Macaca mulatta: one gene and its partners. The protein of the gene in region 2 interacts with the protein of the main gene of each other region in a pairwise test. Links are inferred from orthologs where the notes say so. Each region holds a gene or a part of one and is shown on either strand. Other genes may lie near its edges.

Region 1 (7,753 bases), on a different chromosome or scaffold from region 2:
GCGGTTTCCCTTGTGTATCAGAGCTCTTTCTTGACTTTCTATTTTCCCCCAATTCTTTAAGCAGTCGATTGGCACAGAGTTTTCCCACGCCGGTGTGCCTGCCCCAAGAGCCATCGTGACTCGGACGTAGCCCTGGCCATGAGACTCCCTTGGGTGGTGCTTGGGCTGTGCACCACAGGGGCTGCAGTGGATTTGCTGTGTCAGGGATGAGCCTGGCTCAGGGGTTGGTGGGGCTCTGAAGCACATTTGGGGTTCTTTGTAGCTTCTAATGCGAGGTTTGAGTCCAGTGCACCCACAGCAGCATGCCTTTCTTACCCCTGTGGTGTTGCAGGCTCAGGCCCCTGGGCTCCTTTAACAAGCAAGCTGGTCACTGAAGCACGAAGATGCAGCACAGGGCATCCCCTGGGGCTTCAATGACAATACCTGCAGTGCTTAGGGTTTGCCCTGTGCCCTCTGGGTAGGGCGGCCTCTCCGCACTCGGCACTCGGCAGCATGGTCGGGCTGGCCAGGGCATGGGCAGACAGTGTCCTGTGGCCACCTCCACCCTCCTGCCCAGCCGGCTGTTTCACACTCATCTTTTTAAGGTCAGGTTGGTTCCTGGCAAAAATGTCCCTCCAGGGGCCTCCAAGCATAGGATTTGGAAGACATAGGAACAGCACAGGCAGCCAGGAAAGCAGCTGCGCTCAGACGATGCCTTCTCCATTACTCAAAGCTTCTTTTTGTTCAGCCAGTAAAGAAACTTGACAAAATAGGAACAGGAGATATTTCTCAATTGTAAACCTTTGTGCAGGGATAGTTGGCTTCCAAAGGCTTTCAGATTTCAATTACTTGAGAAAGAAGTTTGTTTTAGATCCTTAATATTTATGAATTCTCAAAAAAATTGATGAATAGGCATTTTATAGCTTTAACCCTGCAAGTGTTTCTTAATGAGTATACTAACTGCCCTGGGGCACGTAGGTAAGTGTAAATGCTGTGGTTTGAGCCGAGTTTTCATCTGTAATCCCAGTGTTTGAGGTGGCCAAGGCCAGAGGATAACCCAAGCCCAGGAATTGGAGGCCAGGCTGGACAATGGAGTGAGACCATGTTACTTTCTTTCTTTGTCTTTTTCTTTCTTTTTTTTTTTTTTCTGAGATGGAGTCTTGCTCTGTCGCCCAGGCTGGAGTGCAGTGGCATGATCTCGGCTCACTGCAACCTCCACCTCCTGGGTTCAAACAATTTTCCTGCCCCACAGATGAACACCACCATACCTGGCTAATTTTTGTACTTTTAGTAGAGACGGGGTTTCACTACGTTGGCCAGGCTGGTCTCGAATTCCTGACTTCAAGTGATCCACCTGCCTTGGCCTCCCAAAGTGCCAGGATCATGGCATGAGCCACTGAGGCCAGCCCTTTTTTCCTTTTTTTGAGATGGGATCTCCCCAGACTGGGGTGTAGTGGTGCAGTTACAGCTCACTACAGCCTTGACTGCCCAGGCTCAAGTGATCCTCCCATCTCAGCTAGAATTACAGGCTTGAGCCACAGTGCCTGGTAATTTCCCAATTTTGTAGAGATGGGACTTAGCTATGTTGCCTACACTGGTCTTGAACTCCTGGTGTCAAGCAATTCTCCAGTCTCGGCCTTGGCCTCCCAAAGTGGTGGGATTCTAGGTGTGAGCCACTGCGCCTGGCCTTTAAAATTTCAATCTCTCCAAAACCTCCAAAATATTCTTTAGTTAGTTCTTCAGAAGTAGCTGGGCTCAATCCACCCACAAAAACCTTTCAGGGGGTTCTTTCCCTTTTCAAGCTTTGGCTCTATGTGGCAGGGGTGGGGGGTGGTCCTATCAATTTGCCATCCAGCTTCTGTTCTTTCCATTCCAAGGCCTTAACAGCACTAGCATTTTCCAAAAGCACAAATACAAATCCCCTTGATCTTCCAGTAACTGTTTTAACTGTGCAGTCTGCAACCAGCCTAAGTCAAGACACACCATCAGATCTCTTTTTGCTTGTAACACTGTACCATCATCCTGCAGATCTTGGATCCCTCTGTGATTTCCTCTGTATTGCTTGCGGTACTCATTCAGGTCTTTGCTGGTCCTGGAGGAGTTGTAGGCAGGGGGCTGCTGGTGCACCCTCAGGGTAAGGAAGCAGTGTATGCTATGGAGTTGGACTTCAAATGGTGGTGGAAGACAGTCATTATAATTTTATGGGACCACGGTGGTGTGTGTGGTCTGTTGTTGACTGAAACGCCATCACCTCATGTGGGGAGCTGCCAGAAGCCTGTAAGAGTAGCTGCCTGAAGCCCTTTGGGGGTAGCACTCTAAGGTCCCTTAGATCACATGGGTGTAGCACCCTGAGGCCCTGGCGGGAATGACTGTTGGAACCTCTGTCAGTGGTAAGTGATGCCAGTGTCCTCTGTGGAGCAAACTGCTGGGGTCCCTGGTGGTTCCCACCGTGTAGCTGACACTCGTGGCCTCTGCTTTTCTTCTTTGTTCACAGTGTTCTCCTGGCATCTCAGGTATGCATTATCTCACCAGTGAACTTTTTCATGTGGACATTCTCGGGTTTTTTCGTTTTACTCCACTGTGTTGCTGCAGATCTTCAATGGGTCCTTGAGCGTTCTGGGCTATTCTGGCTTGTGAATATCTGTCTGTAGTTGATTTGTGTGTGGGTAGTGGGAGGGGGAAATGAAGGTTGGTATCTCCTACTCCACCGTCTTGGTGATGTTGCTCCACTCTTTCCTTTCTTTTTTTTCCAAAATAACCCAGCAACATTGCCCCAACTAAAGCCATTAAGATAATTCCTGGCCGGGTGCGGTGGTTCACGCCTGTAATCCCAGCACTTTGGGAGGCTGAGGTGGGTGGATCACTAGAGGTCAGGAGTTCAAGAGCAGGCTGGCCAACATGGTGAAGCCTCATCTCTACCAAAAAATACAAAAATTAGTTGGGTGTGGTGGCACGTGCCCGTGGTCCCAGCTACTCGGGAGGCTGAGGCACAAGAATCGCTTAAACCCAGGGAGTGGAGGTTGCAGTGAGCTGACAGACATCGCGCCACTGCACTCCAGCCTGGGTGACAGAGCGAGACCCTGTCTCTAGATAAATAAATAAAATAGAGCCATTAAGATAATTCCTCAAAAACAGTAAGTTGCCAGGCATTCACATTTCTCCTTTATTCTCGTTTTTGTTTTGTTTGAGACGGAGTCTCGCTCTGTCACCAGGCTGGAGTGCAGTGGTGCGATCTCAGCTCACTGCAACCTCTGCCTCCTGGGTTCAAGTGATTCTCCTGCCTCAGCCTCCCAAGTAGCTGGAACTACAGGTGCGCATCACCACACTCAGCTAATTTTTGTATTTTTAGTAGAGATGGGTTTCACCATGTTGGCCAAGATGGTCTCGATATCCTGACCTCTTGATCCGCCCGCTTCTGCCTCCCAAAGTGCTGGAATTACAGGCGTGAGCCACCATGCCTGGACCCTCATTCTTGTTTTCTTTTTCTCGGTTGCTTGGTTTGCATTAGGACTTTCCCAGGGTGTAACTGCGTCTCCCTCCCCTGTCCAATCTCCCCACCTGTCATCCCTGAGACAATAAACCTGGGTCCATCTCTGGAAGGATAAGAGCCCAGATCTGTGGCCAGTGGCTCACTGGGGCTATGGGGATGTGTTTGCATTGAAGGTACAGATAGGGCCCCAGGAATGTCTTGGTTTCTGTGCCCGACCCAAGTGTGCTGATAGCTCCTCAGATGCCTCCCGAGAGTCAGGGGAACTAAGCATGCCCGTCTCCACACACACACACACAGGCCACCCACTCTTCTCTCCACGCAGCCCCTCTGCTGCCCTTGATTAGTCACAGACACCAAGGTGGGTGAAGTAGGGAGTAGGCTGACTGTCCACAGTGGCCCCCAGCAGCCAGGTACCGGAAAGAGGCGTAAAAGGGAGTCCCGCCTTTACTCTTGCAGATGATGGCTCCTCTGGTGACGATTTCAGAATTCAACATGTTTTACAATCAAAACTAGCATTTGATAATAAATAAAAATCAACAGCCCAGCCAAACACACCATCCACATACTCCCAATGTGAGAGCAGGAAGACTCTTGTGCCTTAACTCCCTTCCTGCCACCAGCTCCCTCTCTCCCTCCCTCCTCTGTCTCTAGCCCAGCAATCCCTCCACTCCGGTTCTGCCCAGCTGTTGGGAATCTTGGACAGCTTCCTGAGATCCCTGTGCATCCAGTCAGGGTTGGGGCAGCAGAAAACGAAGACCCACTCAAGACCTTATCAGTGCGTGCTTGACTCCTGGTCTCTCTTCTCATGCTTTGTTTGACTCGACATACCTCCTCCAACAACTTGATTTGCATTGATAAGTGTCACTGTGTTTTCCTTTGACACGACCCTGTTGCAGTTTGCCGAGCCCTTGATGGTACCAGGCTCTGGGCACGTAGAACCTACATCCTCATTGGAAACCCAGAGAGCTAAAGCTCCTCAGCCAGGGTCACAGAGCGAGCAGAGCTGGAGCCTGGATACCAAGCCAAGCCCCTCTGTTTTGAATTCTTGCTCTTCAACTACAGCTCAGTCTCCTCCCAGGAAGTGGTGATCCCCGCTTTGGGCGGGACAGGGTTAAGTGCCTCAGAGGTCATAGGTCGCAGGTGGGATGTGAAGTCTGTGCAGTCGCCCACCTTCTCTGGGCTTGTGGGCAAGGACAGTGCAGCCTTGGGGGATGGGAGTTAGGAGCCCCAGCGGGTAACAGTGACCTGAGCCGTGGCACGGGTCCCCTGGCTCCATCTTATGCTCTGTTGTCACCGTCCTGAAATGATCAACTATTTTTGAACAAGGGGACTTGCATTTCCATTTTGTACAGGGGCCCCTCGAATTATGTCTCAGGTCCTGGTAAGAGCTCCTTGGGAGTGGTTACTTATCTTTTTGTATAAGCAGAGCCTTGCTATGTTGCCCAGGCTGGTCCCAAACTCCTGGACTCAAGCAATCCTCCGGCATCAGCATCCCAAAGCAGGGGAACAACAGGCACGCCACCACATACCGCCCTGGGAGACAGCCTTTGGGGATGACGCCCGTTCCTTTGTTGTTCCGTGGTGGTGGGGAGGACGGCTCCTGAGGGGCAGCTGCCGAACAGTCCTGTGCTTGCCATTCCAGGCGTCTGAGCTGATTCTGGATGCAGCGGCAGCAGCCCCGGCACTCCCTGAGGAAAGTGAGTGGCTGGAGCCCACCCAGCTCCTGCAGAGTCTGCACACCAGGGCGGAGGCCGAGGCGCCCCATGCCCCTGGCTTGCTGGGTGAGTCTGGCTCCCGCGTGAATTAAGGGTTGGAAATGGAGTTTGGCACCTCAACCCAAAGTCACAGACTTTGTTAATGGGTGGAGTTGGGGGCTTCGGTGGTAAACTCCACACTTCCCCCAGAAACCATGCACACCTCCTGTGGGGACTGAGATCAGGGGCCCCTAGAACTGCCACATACATCGTTCAGCCCACGAGAAGGGCCTCAGCCTCCCCACCTGAACAGCAGCCAAGGCAGACAGTCTGACAGTGTTGGAGCACAGGGTTACCCAGAAGGCCAGCCAGGTAGGAACAAGGGGCCAGTGCTGTGGGATCTGCTCCCAAAACACATGCCCTTCTTTTTTTTTTTTTTTTGGAGATGGAGTCTTGCTCTGTTGCCCAGGCTGGAGTGCAGTAGTGCAATCTCGGCTCACTGCAACCTCTGCCTCCCGGATTCAAGCGATTCTCCTGCCTCAGCCTCCTGAGTAGCTGGGATTACAGGTGCCCACCGCCACACCTGGCTAATTTTTGTATTTTAGTAGAGATGGGGTTTCACCATGTTGGACAGGCTGGTCTTGAACTCGTCACCTCATGATCCACGCTCCTCGGCCTGCCAAAGTGCTGGGATTATAGGCGTAAGCCACTGCGCCCAGCCACATGTGCCCTTGTATCTTAAAGGACAGAACAGAGGGCACAGGGGACATATTGAGCAGAAGAAGGGCCCAGACTTGGCTCAGTCATTGGGGTCCTCCACGCCCCTGGGGGGCACAGGGAGATGCCAAAGCCATCCACTCACTACAGGTGACCTGTCTCCCTCGCCCTCCACAGGGTCCCGGGCCCGCCTGTCTCTGAAGCCATGTATCTGGGACGAGCCTGAGGATCTTCTCGCAGGGCCCTCCTCAGACCTGCGTGCAGAAGGGGCTGTGATCTCAAGCCTCAAGGGTCCGAGTGCTCAGAGAATCAGTCCCCGAAGGAGAAACAGGAACACTGACCAGAGCGTCCGCCACCAGCCATCCCTCAAGCACACCAAAGGTGGCACCCAAGAGGCTGCTGCAGCGGTCTCAGCAACGCTGCGTGGGCCCCGAGGTGGGCGGCCCTTCCAGTGTGCCGACTGCGGGATGGTCTTCACCTGGGTCACCCACTTCATCGAGCACCAGAAGACCCATCGCGAGGAAGGGCCCTTTCCGTGCCCCGAGTGTGGCAGGGTCTTCCTGCACAGCTCTGTCCTTGCTGAGCACGGCAAGATCCACCTGTTGGAGCCACCCAGGAAGAAAGTCCCCCGGAGCAAGGGCCCCCGGGAGTCCGCCCCACCCAGGGATGGAGCCCAAGGCTCAGTGGCCCCTCGCAGCCCCAAGAGACCCTTCCAGTGTAGCGTCTGCGGGAAGGCCTTCCCCTGGATGGTCCACCTCATCGACCATCAGAAACTCCACACGGCCCACGGCCACATGTGAATGGCCAGCCTCGGGCCTTGGCCACCCGGCCCTGAGTCCCCGGGGGGCACCGATGGGCACCAGAAGATGGGGGACATCCCCCAGCCCCACCAACCCCTGGCCACCATGGGACTCCTCTTGAAGGACACAGGCTGCTTCTCAGAAGATCCTGGACACCTGCTCCAGAGCCGAGCATGGCTTCCCAGGATCTCGGCCAAGCAGCAGCAGTTCCACAGCAAAACCTGGTCAGTCCTGCACACTGTGTTTTGCAAGTGGCTTGAAGAGGAGTTTCATTCACGTCTCGTCTTTCAGAAGCCTTGTCCAGGTCTCCCTGTGAGCACCTGACTCAGGGGCAGACTCTGCCGCTGGGTTTTCATTTCACTGTGGATATCCCTGAGGCCATGAGGGCGGGAGCCGGCCTGGGCAGCTCCAACTCCAGAGAAGGGTACAGCTGACCCCGGCTGCCCTCCTGCCAGCTCAGCCCCCTTGGAACCTAACAGATAAACAGGGTTTTGTTTTTTTTCCTTTTTTGGGAAACATAAAATTTACCATTTCAGTCATTAAAAATGCACAGTTCAGTGGCATTAAACACATTCACAACACTGTGCAACTACCAGCACTCTTTAGCTCCAAAGACATTTTCATCTCGCCCAGAAAGAGAGCCCACAGGCCTCAGCACGCCTTCGCCGTTCCGCCTGCCCTGACAACCAGAATCTGCTTCCTGTCTCTAAGGATTTCAGGCGCAGTCTTTAGGCCTGACCAAAACTGACCTGCCTATATTTTGTTTGACTTACAGAAGGAGTTTTTTTTTGAGATGGATGCCAACATTTGTTTAAACCATAAAAATCTGGCATTCTGGTCTGCCAGGAAGAACCAGATGGTCTCCAAAGAGTGGGGCCGCCTCTCCTGCTAGACTGGAGCAGAGGTGGGCAGGCGGTGAGGTCACAGCAGGGAGCCAGCCTCAGATTCAGCGTCTCGCCCATCCCCAACTCATTGTTGCTGGACACTTGTCCTCTTTCAAGCCTTAAAAGTTTTTGTCTTTTTCTTTTTCTCCTCCCAACTTCACTTTGAAACACAGTGTTGGGCTGACTGTG
Region 2 (7,490 bases):
GAAGTCCCTCCTGGGTGAGGTGGAGCAGAACTTGCAGGCAGCCAAGCAGTGCTCGAGCACACTGGCCAGCCACTTCCAGGAGCACTGCCCGGACCTGGAGCGCCAGGAGGCCGAGGTGCACAAGCTGGGCCAGCGTTTCGACAACCTGTGCCAGCAGGTGGAGCGCAGGTGAGGGTGCGGGGGGTGGTGGTCATTCTTGTTTTCTGAGAATGCAATCTAATTCCCTCTAAACAATGCTGTAGCCATGTCCCACAGATGGTGCCGTTTTTCTTTTTGGTGAGTTCGTCAGATTCCCTGACAGCCCTGTGGTCTCTCCTTTGAGTCATGATTACCTGGGTCTTGTAATCCACAATGGGCATCTCTGCAAGTCAGTGTATGTGGACTCACCCGGTTCTCCACTCCCACCTGACATTCCCTAATTACCACCCACCCGTGTGGGAGATACTTACGGTATTTCTAGTTAAGTTACATTTGATTGTTTCCCACTTTTTTTTAAAAAATGAGGGCCCCGTAAGGCATCTGCTTGCTGTGGCCAAGGCCTGAATGCTTTGCCTTGGCAGGGCGCAGAGCCTACAGAGTGCCAAGGCGGCCTACGAGGACTTCCACCACGGCCGTGACCACGTGCTGCAGCTCCTCACCAGCATCCCCAGTTACGAGCCCCAGGAGACAGACAGCCTCAGCCAGATGGAGACCAAGCTGAAGAACCAGAAGGTGAGACGGCCGCTTCTGCAGCCCCAGGCACACACTGGCGAGGGAGGGTCAGAGGTCAGCAAGCCCCTTTCTGGGGAGCCAAGCTTTTGGGAGGTGGAGCAGGGCAGAGGCCTGCCACAGCTATGTCCTCCCTGGGCCTCAGCTCTCAGGCTCCCAACACCCAACCCTCTGAGAACAAGATCCGAGTGTGTCGCTCACCTCTCCCAGCTCAGTGCCCCGCACAGGGCCTGGTGCAGAGTGGACGCCTGGCGTGGGTTGGCTATCTGAGTGAGCAGCTACAGAATGAGGAGCCGCCTTTGTGGGGAAAATCCCATTTCCAAAGTTGGGACTCCGGCCTCCCCAGGCCCAACACAGTGCCTTGGGGTGAGGGAAGAACATGGGAAGATAAAGGCTGAGATGCAACTCCCAGGTCCACCCCATCAGCCACATCCCCACTTTGGAAACTTTACTTTCCTCACTCATAAGCTGGAGGTCACGATGCTTACCTTCTGGCATCACTTGAAGATCAAATGAGATAATCTAAGTCAGAGAGCAGAACAGTGTCTGGTGGTCCAAATCATCAGTAAACATTTGTTTCCTAGCAGAGATAATGATCTTGGCCCTTCACAGAGCCTTAGAATTGCCTTTTATGGCCGGGTGCAGTAGCTCACGCCTGTAATGCCAGCATTTTGGGAGGCCGAGGCAGGTGGATCACGAAGTGAGGAATTCAAGACCAGCCTGGCAACAGTGAAACCCCATGTCTACTAAAAATACAAAAAAAAACCTAGCTGGGTATGGTGGCAGGAGCCTGTAGTCCCAGCTACTTGGGAGGCTGAGGCAGAACTGCTTGAACCCAGGAGGCTAAGGTTGCAGTGAGCCAAGATTGCACCACTGCACTCCAGCCTGGGCAATGCAGTGAGACTCTGTCTCAAAAAACAAAAAAAACAAAACCAAAAAAAAAAAAACTGCCTTTTGCAATGAACAATAATGTATACCAGGGAGCCATTCATCATACTTTGTGCTAGAGAAGAGTAAATTCAGATTCTGAGATTTCCAGCTACTTCATCCACGTTTGCTTTTTTAAATTTTTTTTCCGGTTCGTTTTGATTTTTAAACTGTGTCTTACAGAACCTGCTAGATGAGATAGCAAGTAGGGAGCAGGAAGTACAGAAGATCTGTGCCAATTCCCAGCAGTACCAGCAGGCTGTAAAGGTGAGCCGGGAAACTTCTGCCCGAAGCACAAACAGCAGGGGCCTCGTTCCTCCGTCCCCTGGTCAGAGAAGCAGCAAGCACCAGCCTTGGCACATGTGGGTGGAGCTGGCCATCTGGCGGCACTGCTGGCTGCTGTGCAAACTGGCATGGGCTTTTGGGAAAATAGCATGGTACTAGACATGCAATGCCGTAAAAGGGTTTTATACTCTGAAGCAGTAAACTCTTTGGGGGAATTTATCCTTAAAGAAAAAATACCAAAAAAAAAAGCAGGATAAAATTGTTGCAACAGCCCTATTTACAATAGCAAAACTAGTAAGCTGGAAAGGACGGGTGTCCAGTGGAAGGGGAAAGCTGCGTGAAGCAGCACACATCCACTTGCTGGATTATGAAGTCTGCAAGCTGGTAAACATGAGAAGAGGTGGTGGCAAGGTGAGACAAGGTGATGGTACAATGTTAAAAGCAGCAGCAGCAGGTGAAAATCTCTAGGCATGTAGGAAGGTCGGGAGGGGAATTCGGGGGGTGCTTTTTCTTGTCTTGTATGTTACTGAGTGATGGAGCTCTGTACTGCTGAGGTATCGGTAATTCTCAAAACCTCCTGGCAATCACTACAGGGTGCAGCTGTGAGGAAGACCCGTGCAGATTATAAAACCAGCACATGGCACAGGGCTGGTCTGGGTCAGCCGGAAGGGGTACAGGAACATGTCTGTCTCTTCTAACCTGTTTTAATCTACCCTCTGCCATGTCTCTCACTCATGCAGGACTATGAGTTAGAAGCAGAAAAACTAAGGTCTCTTCTCGACTTGGAGAATGGAAGGAGCAGCCACGTGAGCAAGAGAGCCAGGCTCCAATCTCCTGCCGCCAAAGTGAAGGAAGAGGTGAGTTTTGTGGGCCGGGCGGCCTCGGGACTGAGGTGGAGGCCAAGCTGCCCTGCTCCCCAGGGAGCATTGGTGTCACGCGCTGGCCTCAGAGATGCACATACAACAGGGAAGCCACTGAGAGCCCTCCTGTGTGCAAACAGGTATGGTAAGAGAAGATGAGGAACTTGCTCTAGGGCAGTGACAGCGATATGCCTAGAAAGACAGCAAGGCTGGGCGTGGTGGCTCCTAGCACTTTGGGTGGCTCCTAGCACCTGTAATCCTAGCACTTGGGGAGGCCAAGGTGGGAGAACTGCTTGAGCCCAGGAGTTTGAGACCAGCCCAGGCAACAAAGCAGGACCCCAAATCTACAAAAAAATTAGCCAGGCGTGGTGGTGCACCCTGCAGCTGCTTGGGAGGCTGAGGAGGGAGGATCACTTGAGCCCAGGAGTTCAAGGCTGTAGTGAGCTGCAATCACAGCATTGCACTTCAGTCTGAGTGAGAGAGATTCTGTCTTTAAAAAGTAAAAACTTTTGAAAACACAGCTGAACAGCAGTGTCAGGGTCAAAGCCATGGATCTGGAAAGTTCCTCTTTTGCTCAGTAAGTAGAGTGGAGGGCTGATATTAGTCCCTTGCACACACAAGAAAGAACACTGGTGCTCAAAGTCAGTGTAGTCAAGACCCTGGTCTGGATCTTCTGCCTCGAGATCCAGTTTTCTCTCCACCAGTGAGACTAAAGCAAGAGTTATGCCTCTACCCCCAAATTCCATACTTCTCAAGAACCACGCCCACGCTCTCTAGCTCTCTGTTGCTTACCCTGTTGACACCTGTTTGTTGATCGCTCTCCTAAACGTCTTGTCTGCAGGAAGCAGCACTTGCCGCCAAGTTCACTGAAGTTTACGCCATCAACAGACAGAGGCTGCAGAATCTGGAGTTTGCTCTGAATCTCCTGAGACAGGTAACTGATCTTCGTAAGAAATCCTACTTCAAGCTGTGCTAACAGGTGACAAAGACAGACTCTGTCTCAGAGAAATAGTCTGTGAATTGATGGGAGTGTCCCCTTGCTAACGTTTCTGGGCAGGACCAGTGCAAAGACTGGCCCGAGCCAATGCTTCTACTGACATGAGAACTTATTCAACTTAGTAAACGTCTGCTGAAAGTGAATGCTATTTTCAGCTAAACATGGTGGCTCACGCTTGTAATCCCAGCACTCTGGGAGGCCGAGGCGGGCGGATCACCTGAGGTCAGGAGTTTGAGACCAGCCTGGCCAACATGGTGAAACGCTGTGTCTACTAAAAATGCAAAAATTAGCTGGGCGGCGTGGCGCATGCCTGTAATCCCAGCTACTCAGGAGACTGAGGCAGGAGAATTGCTTGAACCCAGGAGGTGGAGGTTGCAGGGAGACGAGATTGTGCCATTGCACTCCAGCTGGGCAACAGAGCGAGACTCTGTCTCAAAAAAAAAAAAAGAAAGCAAAGAAAATGAATGTTATTTTCTGAAGTCCATGATGTTTACGACAGCATTGTTTGTAATAGCAAGACACTGGAAGCGGTTCACTCTTCATCAGCAATGGGCTAAACTGCGGTCTGTCCAGAGTAGAAACTATGCTGCTGGTAAATCCTGAAGCAGTACTCTCTGTGCGGAGCTGGAATGAGCTCTGTCAGTGCAGTCAGCGGCAGGGCACACAGCAAGAATACCATTTGTGCAGGAAAGATAAACACATGGTGCATACTACAGACAGACATGCTTGTGTGAGCATAGACAGACACGCCCTAGGAAGGGGACCAGAGGTGGGAGACCATGGTTTCATTTTAAACTCTTCCACAGCTCAAAAATGTTTTACCTAATTAAAAAAAACCCCAAACTAGTTGTTTGATCATTTTTGAAAGTAACCCTAGAACTCTACAACGAACATGAACTGGCGCTGAGGGAGTCCCTTGGGGATCACAGGACAGCCGCTCTGACCAGCTGGGGACAGGCCCCACATGTGCTGCCAGAGCCTGGCTTTAACCTTGTCTTGTCTTCTCCATCACAGCAGCCGGAAGTCGAAGTGACCCATGAGACCCTGCAAAGGAACAGGCCGGACTCTGGAGTGGAGCAGGCGTGGAAGATCAGGAAGCAACTGGATGAGGAGACTGAGCGGAGGCAGCAGCTGGAGAACGAGGTCAAGAGCACCCAGGAAGAAATCCGGACCTTGAGGAATCAGGGGCCTCAGGAATCGGTGGTGAGGAAGGAGGTGCTCAAGAAGGTGCCGGATCCCGCACTGGAGGAGAGCTTCCAGCAGCTGCAGCAGACGCTGGCAGAGGAGCAGCACAAGAACCAGTTGCTGCAGGAGGAGCTGGAGGCACTGCAACTGCAGCTGCGTGCCCTGGAGCAGGAGACCAGGGATGGGGGGCAGGAGTACGTGGTCAAAGAGGTCCTGCGCATTGAGCCCGACAGGGCCCAGGCGGATGAGGTCTTGCAGCTGCGGGAGGAGCTGGAGGTACTGAGGCGGCAGAAGGGCGCCCGGGAGGCAGAGGTGCTCCTCCTGCAGCAGCGTGTGGCCGTCCTGGCCGAGGAGAAGAGCCGGGCACAGGAGAAGGTCACCGAGAAAGAGGTGGTGAAACTGCAGAATGACCCCCAGCTGGAGGCAGAGTACCAGCAGCTGCAGGAGGACCACCAGTGCCAGGGCCAGCTCAGGGAGAAGCAGGAGGAGGAGCTGAGCTTCCTCCAGGACAAGCTCAAGAGGCTGGAGAAGGAGCGGGCCATGGCTGAGGGCAAGATCACCGTCAAGGAGGTGCTCAAGGTGGAGAAGGACGCAGCCACCGAGAGGGAGGTCAGCGATCTCACCCGCCAATACGAGGACGAGGCTGCCAAGGCTCGCGCTAGCCAGAGGGAGAAGACGGAGCTGCTCCGGAAGATATGGGCCTTAGAGGAGGAGAACGCCAAAGTGGTGGTGCAGGAGAAGGTGAGGGAGATCGTGCGGCCAGACCCCAAGGCGGAGAGTGAGGTGGCCAACCTCCGCCTGGAGCTTGTGGAGCAGGAGCGAAAGTACCGGGGTGCCGAGGAGCAGCTCCGGAGCTACCAGAGCGAGCTGGAGGCCCTCAGGAGGCGAGGCCCCCAGGTGGAAGTCAAAGAGGTGACTAAGGAAGTCATTAAGTACAAAACTGACCCCGAGATGGAGAAGGAGCTTCAGCGGCTTAGGGAGGAGATCGTGGACAAGACCAGACTGATTGAAAGGTGTGATTTAGAGATCTACCAGCTCAAGCAGGAAATCCAGGCCCTGAAAGACACCAAACCCCAGGTCCAGACCAAAGAAGTGGTCCAGGAGATCCTCCAATTCCAAGAAGACCCTCAAACCAAGGAGGAGGTGGAGTCTCTGAGGGCAAAGCTCTCAGAGGAGCAGAAGAAGCAAGTGGATCTGGAGAGGGAGAAGGCCTCCCAGGAAAAGCAGATCGCCCAGAAGGAGGAGGAGCTCTCGCGAGTGAAGGAAAGGGTGGTGCAGCAGGAGGTAGTCAGGTACGAGGAGGAGCCAGGCCTGCGGGCCGAGGTGAGCGCCTTTGCCGAGAGCATCGACGTGGAGCTGCGACAGATTGACAAGCTGCGGGCAGAGCTGCGGAGGCTGCAGCGCCGGCGCACCGAGCTTGAGCGGCAGCTGGAGGAGCTGGAGCGTGAGCGGCAGGCCCGCAGGGAGGCCGAGCGCGAGGTGCAGCGGTTGCAGCAGCGGCTGGCAGCGCTGGAGCAGGAAGAAGCGGAGGCCCGTGAGAAGGTAACCCGCAAGCAGAAGGTGGTGCTGCAGCAGGACCCGCAGCAGGCCCGAGAGCATGCCCTGCTCCGACTCCAGCTGGAAGAAGAGCAGCACCGGCGGCAGCTCCTGGAGGGTGAGCTTGAGCCCCTCCGGAGGAAACTGGCTGCACTGGAGAAGGCGGAGGTCAAGGAGAAGGTGGTGCTCTCCGAGAGCATCCAGGTGGAGAAGGGTGACACCGAGCAAGAGATCCAGAGGCTCAAGAGCAACCTGGAGGAGGAGAGCCGCAGCAAGCGCGAGCTGGATGTCGAGGTGAGCCGGCTGGAAGCCAGACTTGCGGAGCTGGAATTTCATAACTCCAAGTCATCCAAGGAACTAGATTTTCTAAGGGAAGAGAACCACAAATTACAGCTGGAGAGGCAAAACCTGCAGCTGGAGACCCGAAGGCTCCAATCGGAAATTGACATGGCAGCGACGGAAACACGAGACCTGCGGAACATGACCGTGGCGGACTCCGGGACCAACCATGACTCCAGACTGTGGTCCCTCGAGAGGGAACTAGATGACCTCAAGAGGCTCTCCAAGGACAAAGACCTCGAGATCGACGAGCTGCAGAAACGTCTGGGCTCCGTGGCTGTCAAGCGGGAGCAGCGGGAGAACCACCTGCGGCGCTCCATCGTAGTCATCCACCCCGACACAGGCCGCGAGCTGTCCCCGGAGGAAGCCCACCGCGTGGGGCTCATCGACTGGAACATGTTCGTGAAACTCAGAAGCCAGGAGTGCGACTGGGAGGAGATCTCAGTGAAGGGTCCTAATGGTGAGTCCTCAGTAATACACGACAGGAAGTCTGGCAAGAAGTTCTCCATTGAAGAGGCCCTGCAGAGCGGCAGGCTGACCCCTGCTCAGTATGACCGCTACGTCAACAAGGACATGTCCATCCAGGAGCTGGCGGTCTTGGTATCTGGGCAGAAGTAGGCACAGCTCTTGTAACTCTTCATAGCAGCAGATGC
Region 3 (7,753 bases), on a different chromosome or scaffold from region 2:
CCAGTGGCCCCTCAGATGAAGCAGTTGCCTAATTAGTAAGTTCCCTGTTGTTCAAACTCCTTGCTCGGCAAAATGTAAGTGGAACATTTTTTTCCAAGTGTCAGTATGAAAAATGGTAGTTGCTGGGCTATCACCGAGGACAGCTGCTCTGATTCTGAAGTGTGAACGCCTGCGTATGGCTGATGCTGCAAAACTTGAGGGAAAACATTCCCGTGTACCTGAGTGACCCATGGGTGGAACACAGCAGGGCCGACGACGGCAGGGCCTGAGTGTGGGTCTCAGCCTGGGGACTTGACAGCCTCTGTGCCCCGGGGCCCCTGCCCAGCTGGCTGGGCCACCTCCGTGTCTGGCTTCACTGGCAGTCCCCAGGACTGTGCTCCAGGCCCCTAGACAGGGAGTGCTGTCCCACGGCAGTGGGGCAGTCCTGTCCCGCAAGCCCGGCCCTCAGTCTGAGTGATGCTGATCTCTCACTGCTGACGCCATGCTCCATCCTCTTGGTGGGTAGCAGGGGTCGGGGGGCGGCCCTGCTGGACAGCCCACACATGCCACTGTCAGCTGCTGTCGCCACCTGGCCAACCCTGGTTGATTGGGGAATGCTTTCAGCCCTGCAGCCCCTGTGGCCATAGCTGGTGCCGGAGCTGCTGCTGGTGCCTGCTGGGGACTGGCTGGTTTGGTGCTGCCTCTTCCAGGAAGGCTGTGCAGATTGGCCCAGACCTCTTCCCAGCCTCCTGTCAATGGTACTCCATCCCCTGCGTCCAGCTGGCCCAGCCCGTTTTCACACACAGATAGGGGTGGCTCTTCTGAGAGGGGCGCTGTGGTGGGGCGAGTCTGCCTTCCCACTGACCCAGGGCTGTTTCTGTCGCTTGCCCTAAGAAACAGCTCCCCCACTGCGCCTGCCCCCCGGGACTCAGGCGTCCCAGGCACATCTGTCCTGGCACACCAGTTGCTACCTGGCTGCCTGGCGAGGGTCTGACGGGTAGAGTGTGCATGGCCCTCACCACCTGCACGTCCGTAGGGGAGTACATCAAGACCTGGCGACCACGCTACTTCCTCCTCAAGAATGATGGCACTTTCATTGGCTATAAGGAGCGGCCGCAGGACGTGGACCAACGTGAGGCCCCCCTCAACAACTTCTCTGTGGCACGTAAGTGTCCCCTCAGCCTTTCGGGATTCAGATTTGGGGTTGGCTGGAGCCCTCTTTGCCCACCAGGCCCCCCGATGGGGGTGCCCTGGAGCCTCCATGTTCTGGGCCAGCAAGCAACAAGCACGGGTTGGGTGGGGGTCTCTGGGCTGAGTCCCGAGGCTGGCTGGGCAGGGGTCTCCAGGCTGAGTCCCAAAGCCGAGGCTGACTGGGTGGGGGTCTCCAGGCTGAGTCCTAAGGCTGAGGCTGGCTAGGCGAGGGTCTCTGGGCCGAGTCCCGAGGCCGAGGCTGGCTGGGCAGGGGTCTCTGAGCTGAGTCCTGAGGCTGGCTAGGCGGGGGTCTCTGGGCCGAGTCCCGAGGCCGAGGCTGGCTGGGCAGGGGTCTCTGAGCTGAGTCCTGAGGCTGGCTAGGCGGGGGTCTCTGGGCCGAGTCCCGAGGCCGAGGCTGGCTGGGCAGGGGTCTCTGAGCTGAGTCCTGAGGCTGGCTAGGCGGGGGTCTCTGGGCCGAGTCCCAATGCTGGCTGACTGTGGAGCAGTTCCCTGGTGCCCATGCTCTGGAGGCTGGAGGGTCCAGACAAGTGGTAGCAGAGCCTAGCCTCAGGGTGGACAGCTGACCCGGGGGCCCCTCCTCCAAGCGGGGCAGATAGAGCCCACCTGGGTCTCTAGCTCTGAAGCCTCCATCACTCGAGGAAGAGCTCATGCCTCTGCCCGCACAGGCGCTCGGTCCCCAAACCCCGTGGCGGAACCTTTGCTTCCCTCTGTGAGGCTGCAGGCTGGAAGCCTCCTTGCCCACGAAGGGGCGGGTGCAGAAAGGCCAGCGGGGGACCTTGGCCAGAGCATCCCACAGAGATGAGAGACGTGACACTCCCTGCTTCGCCCTGCTGTGGCTTTATTTCCTACCTGTAGCGGGGGCAGGTGCGACCCTACCCATGTTAGACGGGAACCCTGGCATGGAGACCCAGGCGCCCTGCTAGGTGGGAGGCTGGGGGCACGTGGGCCTCCCAGCATGGTCCCCATTTTCTGTGTCCCTGTCCTGGAGCCCAGCTCTGCCCGTGGCAGCCAAAGGTGTGATTGAGTAGCTAAGTAGGACCCAGTTGTGGGCCATCTGTATGTGGCAGGGCTGCGTAACTTGCCCCACGCCCTCCCCAGTGTCTCCTTGGTTGGGGCTGGGGGCTTCAGGGATCAGGGAGAGGCTGGATACTCGCTGTGTGCCTGGTGGCACCTGGGACAGGGCCTTGCTGGGGACGGGTGCTGTGGGTGTGCTCGCCAGGCCGAGGCATCAGGAAGGAAGGAAGAGGGGAGCTCTCTGGGGAGGCACACGGGTGGGTACCAGCTGGGGTGGTGCCTGAGCAGCCGGCAAGGCTGGGGCCTTCAGATGAGGCCATAGGTGGGTGGTCTGGAGTGCCTGGCCAAGGAGCAGAGCTGGGCAGGGGCCAGGAGCTTTTCTCCGGGGAAGGGTTCCGGGGCAGTGGGCTCGAGACCCTGGCCCTGGGGATTGCATATTAGGGCAGATCAGACCATCCAGGAGCAAGTGGGAGGTGGGTGTGCCGGGGCTTCACACTGGTTTCCACTTCTCTGGCCTGTGTTGACACAGGCCACCCTCCCCACCAGGCTGGTCCCGAGCCCCCTCCTGGCCCCCAGGCCTGGAAGACAGCTCCCTCGCTGCCTGGCCAGGCCCCCTTGTGGTTGCCAGGGCCTCGATGCTGGAATGTCAGAGGCCCCCTACTGGCCCCTCAGCCCCCTCCTGCTTTGCACAGGCTGGGCCAGAGCCTGCCAAGGAGCCCCAGCGGCTACACACTGCACTCACTCACACCTCTCAGGGCCCCGCACGTTCCCACAGCCCTCAGGGTGTATGTGCAGTAGGAATGGCTGTGCCCCACGTATGTGTTCCCCAGGTGTGTGTGCGCTCCAGGTGTGTGTGTGCCCCAGGTGTGGCTGTGCACCAGATGTGGCTGTGCCCCAGGTGTGTGTGTGCCCCAGATGTGGCTGTGCCCCGAGTGTGGGTGTGCCCCGGGTGTGGGTGTGTTCCACGTGTGGGTGTACCCCTGGTGTGACTGTGTGCCCCAGGTGTGGCTGTGTTCCGAGTGTGGCTGTGCCCCACATGTGGGTGTGCCCCGGGTGTGACTGTGCCCCAGATGTGGGTGTGCCCTGGGTGTGACTGTTCTGGGTGTGGCTGTGCCCCACATATGTGTGTGCCCCGGGTGTGGGTGTGCTCCAGGTGTGGGTGTGCCCCAGATGTGGGTGTGCCCTGGGTGTGGGTGTGCTCCAGGTTTGGGTGTGCACCAGGTGTGGGTGTGCACCAGGTATGGTGTGCCCCAGGTGTGGCTGTGCCCCAGGTGTGGCTGTGCCCCGGGTGTGACTGTGCACCAGGTGTGGTGTGCCCCGGGTGTGGTGTGCCCCAGGTGTGGCTGTGCACCAGGTGTGGCTGTGCCCCCAGGTGTGCGTGTGCCCCCAGGTGTATTTCCCAGGTACTCAGGGTGAGATTGGGAAAATAGCAGGACATTTCTACACTAGGTGGGACAAGCTGCTTTCTGGGGTGGCCCCCTCATGCCAGCCCCTCTGTGGGATCTCCATATCCCTCATCCTCTGAGGCCTGGTGCACGGTGGGGCTCAGTGACTGAAGGAAGGGGACTGTAGGAGGGGACGATGCGGGGGGGTTGACCTGACCTTGGGCCAGATGCCCTTTGGGGCTGCCTCAACCTGGAATAGAGTGTCTGAGCTGGAATGGGGGTCCTAGCCCCACTCTATGAGGCGAGAAACTGAGGCTTGGAGAGAGGAGGAGGTGGGGCTTCCTAGGACTTGTGGGTGGTATGCAAGGGGAGCTGGCTGGTGCGGTGGGGACTGTGGTGAGGGCCCTGGGAGGGGCAGGGGGATGCATGCAGACAGAGGCTCTGCTTGCCCGCAGAGTGCCAGCTGATGAAGACGGAGCGGCCCCGGCCCAACACCTTCATCATCCGCTGCCTGCAGTGGACCACTGTCATCGAACGCACCTTCCACGTGGAGACTCCCGAGGAGCGGTACGTGGGCTGCGGCGGCCAGGCCGGGCACTTGGGCAGCCCTAGCGCTTAGGAGGGACGTGGGGATGGCGGGTGCTGGGCGCCTCTGCCTATAGCCATCCTTACTCCCCAGTGATCCCAGGCCCTCCTCAGAGCCCGGTTTGGAAACTGGCCCAGTCCTGTGGGGTTGGGTGGGGAAACTGAGGCTGGAGATAAAAACTGTCTAGGGACCGGGCACAGTGGCCGACATCTATAATCTTGGCACTTTGGGAGGCTGAGATGGGCAGATCACTTGAGACCAGGAGTTCAAGACCGGCCTGGCCAACATGGTGAAACCCCCGCCTCTACTAAAAATATAAAACTTAGCTGGGTGTGGTGGTGCACACCTGTGATCCCAGCTACTTGGGAGGCTGAGGCACAAGAATTGCTTGAACCCAAGAGGCGGAGGCCGCAGTGAGCCGAGATTGTACCAGTGCACTCCAGCCTGGGTGATAGAGCAAGCCTGGGGGGCGGAGTCCTGCTGTGGGCCTGGGTCCTGCTGGGGGTTGGAGTTTGCCTGTGGGGACAGAGCCCTGCTGGGGGCTTGAACCCTACTTGGGGGCTAAGCCTGCGTGTCCCTCAGGTCCAGAAGGGCTTTCTGACCCTGAGTGTGTGTGGCCAGCCCAGGTCAAGGGGTGGCCTCCTCAGGGCTGTCTCTGGGGACCCCGCTTGTGAGGCTGGAGGGTGGGTGTAAGCCGTGGGGTGGAGCTCCTGACCTCATGGGGTGAGGTGCAGGGCTACAGCCTCACCTGACCTCCTGCAGGGAGGAGTGGACAACCGCCATCCAGACAGTGGCCGATGGCCTCAAGAAGCACGAGGAGGAGATGATGGACTTCCGGTCGGGCTCACCCAGCGACAACTCAGGGGCTGAAGAGATGGAGGTGTCCCTGGCCAAACCCAAGCACCGTGTGGTAAGGCCTGTCCCCCTTTCTGCCTATGCCTGGGGCTACCTTGGGCTGTGGAGAGCTGGGTGGGTCATGGGGTCCCAGCTTGGCCCAGGAGACACTCAGCACTCCACAGCATCCCCATCTAGGCCGGTTTTCCATGTGGGGCGCAGCTGCTTCCCAGGTGGGTCCTCTTCCCTATGTCAGAGAAATAGTGGGGCTGCTGAGCCCTGCCAGGCTTGGGCAGTGTTACCCCACCCTTCCCCGAACCCCACGCTCTGAGCTAGGGCTGCACCGTGTGTTCCCTGTAAGTCCGGACTCCCCGCTGAGCCCCGCAGGCCACCAGGTGTGAAGCGGTCGCCTCTCCTGGCTCCGCCTCCAAGTCTGCCAAGGGTGACTCTGGGGCCCCCATGCCACCTGACACATGCCGACCAGCTGGGCACTGTGGGCAGCGCCCCCCGCTGACCCTGGTGCCTGCCCACAGACCATGAACGAGTTTGAGTACCTGAAGCTGCTGGGCAAGGGCACTTTCGGGAAGGTGATCCTGGTGAAGGAGAAGGCAACGGGCCGCTACTATGCCATGAAGATCCTCAAGAAGGAGGTCATCGTGGCCAAGGTGGGGCCGGGGTGGTGGGGCAGGGTGGAGACGAGGATGCTGGGCGGCAGCTCACCCAGCCCTGCCTTACAGGACGAGGTGGCCCACACACTCACCGAGAACCGTGTTCTGCAGAACTCCAGGCACCCCTTCCTCACGGTGAGTGGGAGCCCAGATGGGGCTGAAGGGCTGGGGTCAGGTGGCGACTCCTGGGGCTGTCTCTAGGGAACGATGTCCTGTCTTCTTGGGCACGTGAGGACTTTACGCACCGCGGATTCTGCCGCTGGTGACAGGCCTGCCCCGGAGGGTCAGGCTGTGGAGGTGCCCGATGTGGGCTGGGGGCTGTGCTCGCCGCTCCTGTGTGCAGGCAGGTGGGGCAGGTGGCCCTGGTCGTCTTTGCACTCTGCCGAGGCTCCGGGAGGCCCCAGCTCCCCATGCCCTGCAGCCCTGCCTGCCAGGCTTCTGTTGAGGCCCGGGCTCTGTCCTGGGGAGCCCGTTCTGGGGACTCGACCCAGGAGGTATTTACTGTGAAGGGGGCCAGACTCCAGCCACGTGGTTAGTTCCAGGTCACTGTGTTTGGGGATGATTCTCCTGCAGAAGGGGCCTTTGCTTTAAAAGCACAGCCGCCTGTGGTGGAAGGCAGGAAGGTGGCTCTGCCTGGGAGGGTGCATCCTCCCTTGCCAGGGCTCTGGTGCTGGGAGCACTGCCCCCTGTTGAGGTCCCAACCCGCCCTGGAGACCTGAGCCCAGGCCACTTTGCTCACCTTTCAAACACTCCTTGGCGCCTCAGGGGCTGCCAGGGCCCAGCCTGATGGCGTGGTGTGGGGGTGTGGCATGAGGCAGTGTGATGTGGGGGTGTGTGGTGTGGGACAATGTGGTGTGAGACAGTGTGATGTGGGGGTGTGTGGTGTGGGACAATGTGGTGTGAGGCAGTGTGATGTGGGGGTGTGTGGTGTGGGACAATGTGGTGTGAGACAGTGTGATGTGGGGGTGTGTGGTGTGGGACAATGTGGTGTGAGACAGTGTGATGTGGGGGTGTGTGGTGTGGGACAATGTGGTGTGAGGCAGTGTGATGTGGGGGTGTGGTGCGGGGCAGCGTGGTGTGGGGCAGCGTGGTATCGGGCAATGTGGTGTGAGGCAGCGTGGCGTGGGGCTACGGGTGGCATGGTATCGGGTGGCATGGTATCAAGCAGCATGGTATCAGGCAGCGTGGTGTCGGGCAGCATGGTGTGGGGCTACGGGTGGCATGGTATCAAGCAGCATGGTATCGGGCAGCGTGGTGTGGGGCTGCTGTCCTGCCCGTGGGGCTGCAGTTCCAGCTCCGCTTCCTTGCAGGCCCTGAAGTACTCCTTCCAGACCCACGACCGCCTCTGCTTCGTCATGGAGTACGCCAATGGGGGCGAGGTAGGGGCTGGGGCTGCGGGGGATGGGCCTCACGGCCTGTGGACCCAGCCCTGGCAGCTGGGCCACCCATAGTGGGGCTGGTCCTTCCCGGAACCTCGGCTACTCTCCACAGCACCAGACGGTGCTCCCTGCTGGGTGGGTGGTATGACGCCTGCCCAGGCAGCTGCCTGCTGTGGGGTGACTTGTTCCTGCTGAGTTAGGGCTTCTGAGACTTTCCAGGCCCCCGTGCCCTCTGGGGGCTGGTCCCTTCCCTGTGCCCAATGCCCTGAGCCCCTGCCTGAGAAACCCCAACCCTGCAGGCCGTGGGGGCAGAGGCCCCGGCCACGGCTGTGCCTCAGGTCGTGCTTCCCACAGCTCTTCTTCCACCTGTCCCGGGAGCGTGTGTTCTCTGAGGACCGGGCCCGCTTCTATGGCGCCGAGATCGTGTCAGCCCTGGACTACCTGCACTCGGAGAAGAATGTGGTGTACCGGGACCTCAAGGTGCGCCGGCGGGCACTCGGGGTGGGGGCAGGGCCCTGGGAGCCTGGCGGCACTGACCTGAGGCCACCTTTCCCCTAGCTGGAGAACCTCATGCTGGACAAGGACGGGCACATTAAGATCACAGACTTCGGGCTGTGCAAGGAGGGGATCAAGGACGGCGCCACCATGAAGACCTTCTGCGGCACACCTGAGTACCTGGCCCCCGAGGTGTGCGCC

What was found.
Region 1: the proteins of PPL (region 2) and ZSCAN1 interact in binary tests that used the Homo sapiens proteins (3 or more experiments, as listed by UniProt). The two-hybrid records come from large-scale screens. The link is inferred for Macaca mulatta from reciprocal best matches to the Homo sapiens genes PPL and ZSCAN1.
Region 3: the proteins of PPL (region 2) and AKT1 interact in a two-hybrid assay, tested with the Homo sapiens proteins (2 studies listed by BioGRID and IntAct). The link is inferred for Macaca mulatta from reciprocal best matches to the Homo sapiens genes PPL and AKT1.

Annotation. Positions count from the first base shown.
Region 1 is NC_133424.1:70,174,959-70,182,711, forward strand, and holds the end of ZSCAN1 (zinc finger and SCAN domain-containing protein 1), read left to right. Parts: intron 1-5,111; coding exon 5,112-5,250; intron 5,251-6,057; coding exon 6,058-6,680; 3' UTR 6,681-7,749; downstream 7,750-7,753. UniProt on the Homo sapiens protein: May be involved in transcriptional regulation.
Region 2 is NC_133425.1:6,149,904-6,157,393, reverse strand, and holds part of PPL (periplakin), read left to right. Parts: coding exon 1-168; intron 169-560; coding exon 561-711; intron 712-1,818; coding exon 1,819-1,902; intron 1,903-2,660; coding exon 2,661-2,777; intron 2,778-3,621; coding exon 3,622-3,714; intron 3,715-4,791; coding exon 4,792-7,455; 3' UTR 7,456-7,490. UniProt on the Homo sapiens protein: Component of the cornified envelope of keratinocytes. May link the cornified envelope to desmosomes and intermediate filaments. May act as a localization signal in PKB/AKT-mediated signaling.
Region 3 is NC_133412.1:178,213,654-178,221,406, reverse strand, and holds part of AKT1 (RAC-alpha serine/threonine-protein kinase), read left to right. Parts: intron 1-1,015; coding exon 1,016-1,144; intron 1,145-4,045; coding exon 4,046-4,157; intron 4,158-4,938; coding exon 4,939-5,086; intron 5,087-5,543; coding exon 5,544-5,675; intron 5,676-5,747; coding exon 5,748-5,813; intron 5,814-6,988; coding exon 6,989-7,057; intron 7,058-7,411; coding exon 7,412-7,537; intron 7,538-7,615; coding exon 7,616-7,744; intron 7,745-7,753. UniProt on the Homo sapiens protein: AKT1 is one of 3 closely related serine/threonine-protein kinases (AKT1, AKT2 and AKT3) called the AKT kinase, and which regulate many processes including metabolism, proliferation, cell survival, growth and angiogenesis.